Lepisosteus oculatus: one gene and its partner. The protein of the gene in region 1 interacts with the protein of each later gene in a pairwise test. Links are inferred from orthologs where the notes say so. Each region holds a gene or a part of one and is shown on either strand. Other genes may lie near its edges. The genes, in order: rgl2 and ras-related protein Rap-1b.

Region 1 (3,914 bases):
GGCGAAGGAGCGCAGGAGGTGCAGGATGAGCTTCTCCTCGGTGCCACCTTTCACACACTGGGAGCGCGAGACTGCGGGCTGGAGAGAGAGAGGGGGGTTAATACACACACACAGAGAGAGAGGGGGGTTAATACACACACACACTGAGAGAGAGAGAGAGGGGGGTTAATACACACACACACTGAGAGAGAGAGAGAGGGGTCAACACACACACACTGAGAGAGAGAGAGGGGTCAACACACACACACACTGAGAGAGAGAGAGAGGGGTCAACACACCCGCACACTGAGAGAGAGAGAGGGGTCAACACACCCGCACACTGAGAGAGAGAGAGGGGTCAACACACCCGCACACTGAGAGAGAGAGGGGGGTTAATAAACACACACAGAGAGAGAGGGGTAATACACACACACACTAAGAGAGAGGGGGGTTAATACACACACACAGAGAGAGGGGTAATACACACACTGAGAGAGAGGGGTTAATACACACACACTGAGAGAGAGAGGGGTTAATACACACACACACACAGAGGGGTAATACACACACTGAGAGAGAGAGGGGTTAATACACACACACAGAGAGAGAGGGGTATACACAGCGCACACTGAGAGATGCAGTTCTCACATATTTTAATGATCTCTCTGAAGATACTGACGTGTAGGCAGGGCCTGTGTCTCAGATTGTACACAGTCTTACAATGTGGACAGCGCCCTCTGTCCCTGACTATGGGTAACTGCAGATCACTTCACAACAGAAGAGTCATATAAGTCTCACCCCTGTCCCACTGGAGGTACTGGGCTGCTGTTTCACCACCACAGTGTAGATAAGACCTTCCTCCTCTACTTCCGACACAGCTGAGGACTGAGAGAGAGAGGGGTTCATACACACACACTGACTGGACACTCCAGTACATGAACACTGCACTGAGAGAGAGAGGGGTTCATACACACACACTGACTGGACACTCCAGTACATGAACACTGCACTGAGAGAGAGAGGGGTTCATACAGACACACTGACTGGACACTCCAGTACATGAACACTGCACTGAGAGAGAGGGGTTCATACAGACACACTGACTGGACACTCCAGTACATTAACACTGCACTGAGAGAGAGAGGGGTTCATACAGACACACTGACTGGACACTCCAGGACATGAACACTGCACTGAGAGAGAGAGGGGTTCATACAGACACACTGACTGGACACTCCAGTACATGAACACTGCACTGAGAGACAGAGAGAGAGACAGAGACAGAGACAGAGACTCTTACCGGCTCCAGTGGACAGTACCAGGTGGTCTTCATGTGCCCAGGGTCCGGTTTGTGTCCAGTCTGAGAACAGAAGGGAAGATCATGCCTGTGTGTCGGTGCTCTGCTCATATCCAGGAAGAGCGCAGCCCCAGTGACGTCAGCGCGACAGGGCTACCTCGGACAAGACCAGACCTGCACTTCCTGAGCAGCCTGAACCTCAGAACAGCCTGCAGGAATCAGACTGCTCTGCAGGGCCTGGGAGACCCCCTGAGTCTCTGTCTGAACCCCTGAGACTCTGTCTGAACCCCTGAGTCTCTCTGTCTGACCCCTGGGTCTCTCTGTCTGACCCCTGAGTCTCATTGTCTGACCCCTGAGTCTCTCTGTCTGACCCCTGAGTCTCTCTGTCTGAACCCCTGAGTCTCTCTGTCTGAACCCCTGAGTCTCTGCCTTAACCCCCGAGTCTCTGTCTGAACCCCTGAGTCTCTCTGTCTGACCCCTGAGTCTCTGTCTGAACCCCTGAGACTCTCTGTCTGACCCCTGAGTCTCTGTCTGAACCCCTGAGTCTCTCTGTCTGAACCCCTGAGTCTCTCTGTCTGAACCCCTGAGTCTCTCTGTCTGACCCCTGAGTCTCATTGTCTGACCCCTGAGTCTCTCTGTCTGACCCCTGAGTCTCTCTGTCTGAACCCCTGAGTCTCTCTGTCTGAACCCCTGAGTCTCTGCCTTAACCCCCGAGTCTCTGTCTGAACCCCTGAGTCTCTCTGTCTGAACCCCTGAGTCTCTCTGTCTGACCCCTGAGTGTCTGAACCCCTGAGTCTCTCTGTCTGACCCCTGAGTGTCTGAACCCCTGAGTCTCTATCTGACCCCTGAGACTCTGTCTGACCCCTGAGACTCTGTCTGACCCCTGAGACTCTGTCTGACCCCTGAGTCTCTCTGTCTGAACCCCTGAGTCTCTCTGTCTGAACCCCTGAGTCTCTCTGTCTGAACCCCTGAGACTCTCTTTTGGTTCAGAGGGCACTGGGCTGGGATGGAGAGCACTGGACTGGGTTATAAGGTACGGGACTGGGCTGTTTTATACAGGAAGTCTCCCTGCCCGTCTCTCAGTGCTCTGGGTTCAGGAAGTGCCATTGTCAGTGTGGACAATTGCAGGAACTAGCCGTGACCTCACGTCCACCCTCTGACCCCTCCCTCCTCTTCCTCAATCCCTCTCCCTACTTCGGGCTGTGTGTCGTGGGGTAGATCCGGGGAGCTCGGGTCTGACCCCTGGCTGTGAGACGGGGAACTCACCGGGGGCGTGTCCGCCTGCGTCCAGCCGCCTGGCTCCGCCCACCTCCCTTCACCCGGCGTCTCCAGGGGGCGGTACCCACTGAGGGTCACGCCCTGAGGCTCCTCCCCTCCCGGGAGGTCCGTACCACCACTCCACAGGCGGGGGAGCATGGCTCATACCACTGTCGGACACAGGGGGAGAGGACAAAGGGAGTTAGCGGACAGACATGACAACACTGACACACTGACACAATCGCACACTCACACACTGACTGACTGACACACTCACACAGACACAATGACTGACTGACACACTAACATACTGATACACTCACACTGACAAACTCACACACTGATTAATGCACTGACTGACACACTGAAACACTGATTAACACACTATCTGAGACTCACACACTGATTGACGCACTGATTGACGCACTGATTGACACTGAGGAATGTTTGTCAGATCCCAGAGTGCTTCTCACAGTGCAGCAGAAAGTCTCTATTTCTCCCCGCTGGCAGTGGGAGCACAGCCTGTCCTCTCTGGACAGCCAGGTCTGCCTGTGTCCAGTGTCTGTGTCCAGGCTGTGGTCACTGAGCCTGTCCTCTCTGGACAGCCAGGTCTGCCTGCGTCCAGTGTCTGTGTCCAGGCTGTGGTCACTGAGCCTGTCCTCTCTGGACAGCCAGGTCTGCCTGTGTTCTGTGTCTGTGTCCAGGCTGTGGTCACTGAGCCTGTCCTCTCTGGGCAGCCAGGTCTGCCTGTGTCCAGTGTCTGTGTCCAGGCTGTGGTCACTGAGCCTGTCCTCTCTGGACAGCCAGGTCTGCCTGTGTCCAGTGTCTGTGGACACTGAGCCTGTCCTCTCTGTGTAGTCAGGTCTGTCTGTGTCCAGGCTGTGGACACTGAGCCTGTCCTCTCTGGACAGCCAGGTCTGTCTGTGTCCAGTGTCTGTGTCCAGGCTGTGGTCACTGAGCCTGTCCTCTCTGTGTAGTGAGGTCTGCCTGTGTCCAGTGTCTATCAGACTATGGTCACTGAGCTTGTCCTCTCTGTGTAGTCAGGTCTGCCTGTGTCCAGTGTCTGTCCAGGCTGTGGTCACTGAGCCTGTCCTTCATCAGGGTCTGTTTCTCCTTGCTCTCTCTCTGCTGAGACACTCAGCCAGTGTGTGTTTATATGTATATTTAGTAGGAGAAACACAAAGAAAACACTCCCTGTCTCTCTCTCTACTTTGCATTAAACCGGTTGACTCTCTCTCTCTCTGCAGTTTCGGCCAACATGCAAATACTAAACAAACACACCTCCAGCTCTTGGAGAAGGAAGAGAAATACACCTTTCTTTGTAACTGATTACAATTCTGATTACAATCCCAGTGAATAACTAATCCAGCTCCCAGTCCAG
Region 2 (3,914 bases), on another chromosome or scaffold:
TGGCGGCATTCTGCGGAAAGCAAAGAGACACGCGGACACGCCAAAGCACGGAGTTCCTTCCTGAACCTCGTACAGGACACGAGGAGGTCACACTGGCACGGTGCGCTCACTCAGTGACGTCCTTTTACACGGAAGGTGGGACAGACTGCAGGGTAACATTCCACTGGGCCATCAGCCAGCAAACGCGCCACAATGTGCTCTCCTAAGCCTTTTAAGAGAATAAAGACGAATCAATAATTCTTTTTTTTCCTTTCTATGCTTCAATCGGTACTAGGGGCCCCACTCAAGCTGCCGCCGCATTTCTTCACGGACAAAGGAGAACCACAGACACGCGTGTGCCAAACGACACGCTGACTTGCTTGTGCAAACGACAGCCCAAATTGCTCAAGGTGCCCTTATGTAATCCAACGCATCCAACCTACCCCGGTTCTGCTGAAGGCCGGGAGATGCCTTCTGCACTCGCAGTATAGAGTTTCAGGAGACGGGACACTCGGACCTGCTGAATCCCGATCGGTTTGTTTTATTGCTCTCCTAGGAGGATGCCCGGCTCTTCAGCAGATTCTCTTTAAAACCGGAGGGGGAGCTTGTTGTGCACCTTTATAGATCAGTCCCACTTGTTGCAGAGTGGTATGCTATCCCACAGCTGTTGCTTCTTGATTGCTATCTGCACTGCTGACTGAGTGTCCTAACCTAAATGGCATCTGATATGTCTTCCCAATGCCGAACTACAGGAAGAGACGAGGGAAATTGCATGTGTGCTGCATTACGGAGGCAAATATTAATTTGCGTTCCCTGCACATTTCCTGGTACTGGATTTTGAGAAAAGCAGCTCAGTGCAGGAGTGTCACAAAACATCAGACAAGCTAACAGAGAATTACTAGCATGCATGCAGACAGCAGCAGATCCCCGAGTGGAGAAATAAAGACAAGGACCATTTCCTTTCCCAAAGGCAAGACCTGAGCATGCTTTCTGTTGCAACGCATGGAGAAAGCAGACCATGGAGAAATGGAGATGATAACCAGTGATGCCATTTTCATGGTCAGACACAAAGACAATCCATGCGCAGATCTGAATTTTAACAACGCCAAACTTCTGGGACTTGGGAAAATTGTAATGGCGCGGGTAACATTTCAAGGAAAACCTTGCTCACCAATACATCAAAATGTATCAGCAGACTTTATCCAACATCAATCGCACCCACACAACAAAAACAGTTCACTTAGAGAGAGGTTAGACAGTATTTTGCATTCTCCATCAGCCAGAATCAGTATGCTGGGGGAAAAGAGAGTACATGCTCAACATATAACGTTCAAAATCCAAGACTGACAAAGAGTGGTAATTGTAATATCTCTTCTTCGATGTCTGCACATACTTGTACAGATGCATACGATCAAACTCGAATTCAAGAAACTCAACTTGCTCGGTGGGATAAAACACAGCGTGCTGTCCAGCGAAAATGGAAGGGTAACAAAAGTTTGGTCACAGCTCCATGAAACTCGTGTAAAACAAACTTAACGGGAAACTATACTCCTACGAAAACTAAGGCCTATTAAATTCAGGGTACGAGTCTGCTGATGGCTTAAAGCTGGGCCACATGGGACTAAATTGTTCTACGATGCATAAACTCCTGACGACCACCCAAGATGTTTAATCGAATCAGAAAATGACAAACCGTGCATACATTTAGCGCAATATTCTTTCATGCCACACATCACAGCATTCATCGGGTAAAGGAAAAACGCCTCTTTGTGTCAGAAAAAAACCCGGAATCGACGATTTTAAGGAAATGCATCCAACTGATAAAAGATTTCGCCCTTTTCAAGATATCGCATTTGTTCGAGGCTCCTTGCCAGTTTTAATTTAAGTCCTTAAATGACCATTTCTTCGTACGTGTGTCTTCGTGAGGGCTAATCAAGTGACATTTGGACGAAAAACTCAAAGATCCCCCTTGAGGACGCCTCGCCTTATCCCCACTCAGTTGTGAACTAGGCGGGGCACGTTATCAGGAACATCACACCAAATGAGTGCTTTGCTTACAACAAGCCTGCAAAACGCGCACCCCGGTAAAATAACGCTTCATCTGCCACTAGTTCGCTTTCCTCCGATTCACAAAGCTAGCAATCAGATCTTCCAACTCTAAAACGGGCCTGCTTAGCTGGGTTTTATTGTGACTAGGAACCGGAGACACCAAAAGAATTCGTAATGTGAACTACAATCTCGACAACTTTTCCATTTCCGTTTGAACTTCTCCGCTGTCACAGGCTAAAACACAACACAACGCCATTTCCCCAAGCCTCCTGCCACCCAGGCGGGGGTTCATCTTCACGTTTTCAGAGCTCAGAAGTTCAGTATGCGGCCACGGCAGCCCCGGAGAAACGCTGTGAAGTAAAACATTAGGAGTTGGGGGCTCTTCCACCCCAGCTCCGCCATATTTTAGAGACATTTGACCTGCTCTTCCGCAAACCGTGTTTTAATGCGTTTTTTTTAAAACCGGTTCCCGTATTCAACGGCGCAGAGGCTATCGCGCCGCCGCCTCGCCGGCATTTCGTGTCAACATTAAAAAGCCTCGGAAACGCGCTCCCAACGGCCTCTCTTTTCCAGATAACGTAGAAAAGTTACAATAAAAGCAGATACAGTACTTACAGTTTCGTCCTCTCCGCCGCTCCAATCTGTTTGCGCCTCTCGCCCTGCTCTCTCGATCTCTCCTATCTGGGTGAGGTTTTGAGTTTTTGCATGACGTTGCAGCCTCGGTTTCAGCACCAGTCACAAACTGAATTTACAACTGGACAGAGAGAAAGGCGAGACTGCCGATGGCTTATGTTCCTGTGTAGCATCCATACAGCGTGAAAATAAAGCAAAATACTACGTCTTTACGCTACGCAATTACACACAACAGCCGTCGTATAATATTTAAAGTCTTACTACATGTTTAAGTATGTAATATGTGCTGTAATTGCAAAACCTTTGTCATAAAAATGTATGGTGGGACGTTATGCACCATACTTACGCATTACATTTGTGCAAACAGATGAGGTGCGTTTTCCAGTCGTCTTTCTCTTTTTGCCATCGTAAATCAAATAAATGTCCTTATAAAAACAAGATGCAGCACGGTTTCCAATGTTTTCGTTGTCTGCATATCGGCTTCACATCCTAGCAGAAGAAATTCCTGGCATTTAGCCACAAAGAGTCCTGCAAATTGCAGGAGTACATTAAAGAATTAAACGGCCTTTAGAAACAATGAGAGAATTGGATTATTAAGATAAGTAATATTTATAACAATCGTTTATTATTATGTTAAAAATGTTTTTAAATTAACTTACAACTTTATGTTAATATGATGAGAGGTCATCTGCTATATCTGCAATACCATTTCTGAGTGTGGAATCAATATCGGATGGAAAGCTTTTTATAAGAGTGTAGAGCATCCCCGAACAGGAGATGTGACGTAAAAAAAGAATCCTCTCCGATTTTGTGAGGACTTCATTTTTTACTTTATTTTAGCCCAAATTCTTTTATGCCCAATTTTAAAAAAAGACTCACAAATTCCAGGTGCAAGCAATGAGCATAGCCGCAATCATTTGGGATCCTTAAAAACCCATTTTTGTAGACATAATTTTATGACAGTGAAATGGAAGAGCTGCATTGGCAACCCCTAAGACTAGAGAATGTCACCTTTTTCTGTTCTGTCTGGTCCCTGACAATTTCAATCATCAGAGCACTTTTCTCTAAGCCAAGAAATAAAGTTCTCCTCCACCACACACACAACAGAATCAGATACAGGCAACATCCAGAACAGGCAAAAAAGATGTTGGTAAACGTTACAATTTTGTAATATTTGTCTCAAAACAAAAAAAATATTTTTATTTTTTAGTAAACAAAATAGCTAAAATTATTATAGGAATTATAGTGATAAT

Evidence for each region.
Region 2: the proteins of rgl2 (region 1) and ras-related protein Rap-1b interact in a two-hybrid assay, tested with the Homo sapiens proteins (2 studies listed by BioGRID and IntAct). The link is inferred for Lepisosteus oculatus from reciprocal best matches to the Homo sapiens genes RGL2 and RAP1B.

What each region holds. Positions count from the first base shown.
Region 1 is NC_090709.1:38,453,077-38,456,990, reverse strand, and holds the start of rgl2 (ral guanine nucleotide dissociation stimulator-like 2), read right to left. Parts: upstream 2,952-3,914; 5' UTR 2,933-2,951; intron 2,704-2,932; 5' UTR 2,693-2,703; coding exon 2,543-2,692; intron 1,340-2,542; coding exon 1,280-1,339; intron 865-1,279; coding exon 778-864; intron 79-777; coding exon 1-78. UniProt on the Homo sapiens protein: Probable guanine nucleotide exchange factor. Putative effector of Ras and/or Rap. Associates with the GTP-bound form of Rap 1A and H-Ras in vitro.
Region 2 is NC_090702.1:23,663,039-23,666,952, forward strand, and holds the start of ras-related protein Rap-1b, read right to left. Parts: upstream 2,781-3,914; 5' UTR 2,644-2,780; intron 1-2,643. UniProt on the Homo sapiens protein: GTP-binding protein that possesses intrinsic GTPase activity. Contributes to the polarizing activity of KRIT1 and CDH5 in the establishment and maintenance of correct endothelial cell polarity and vascular lumen.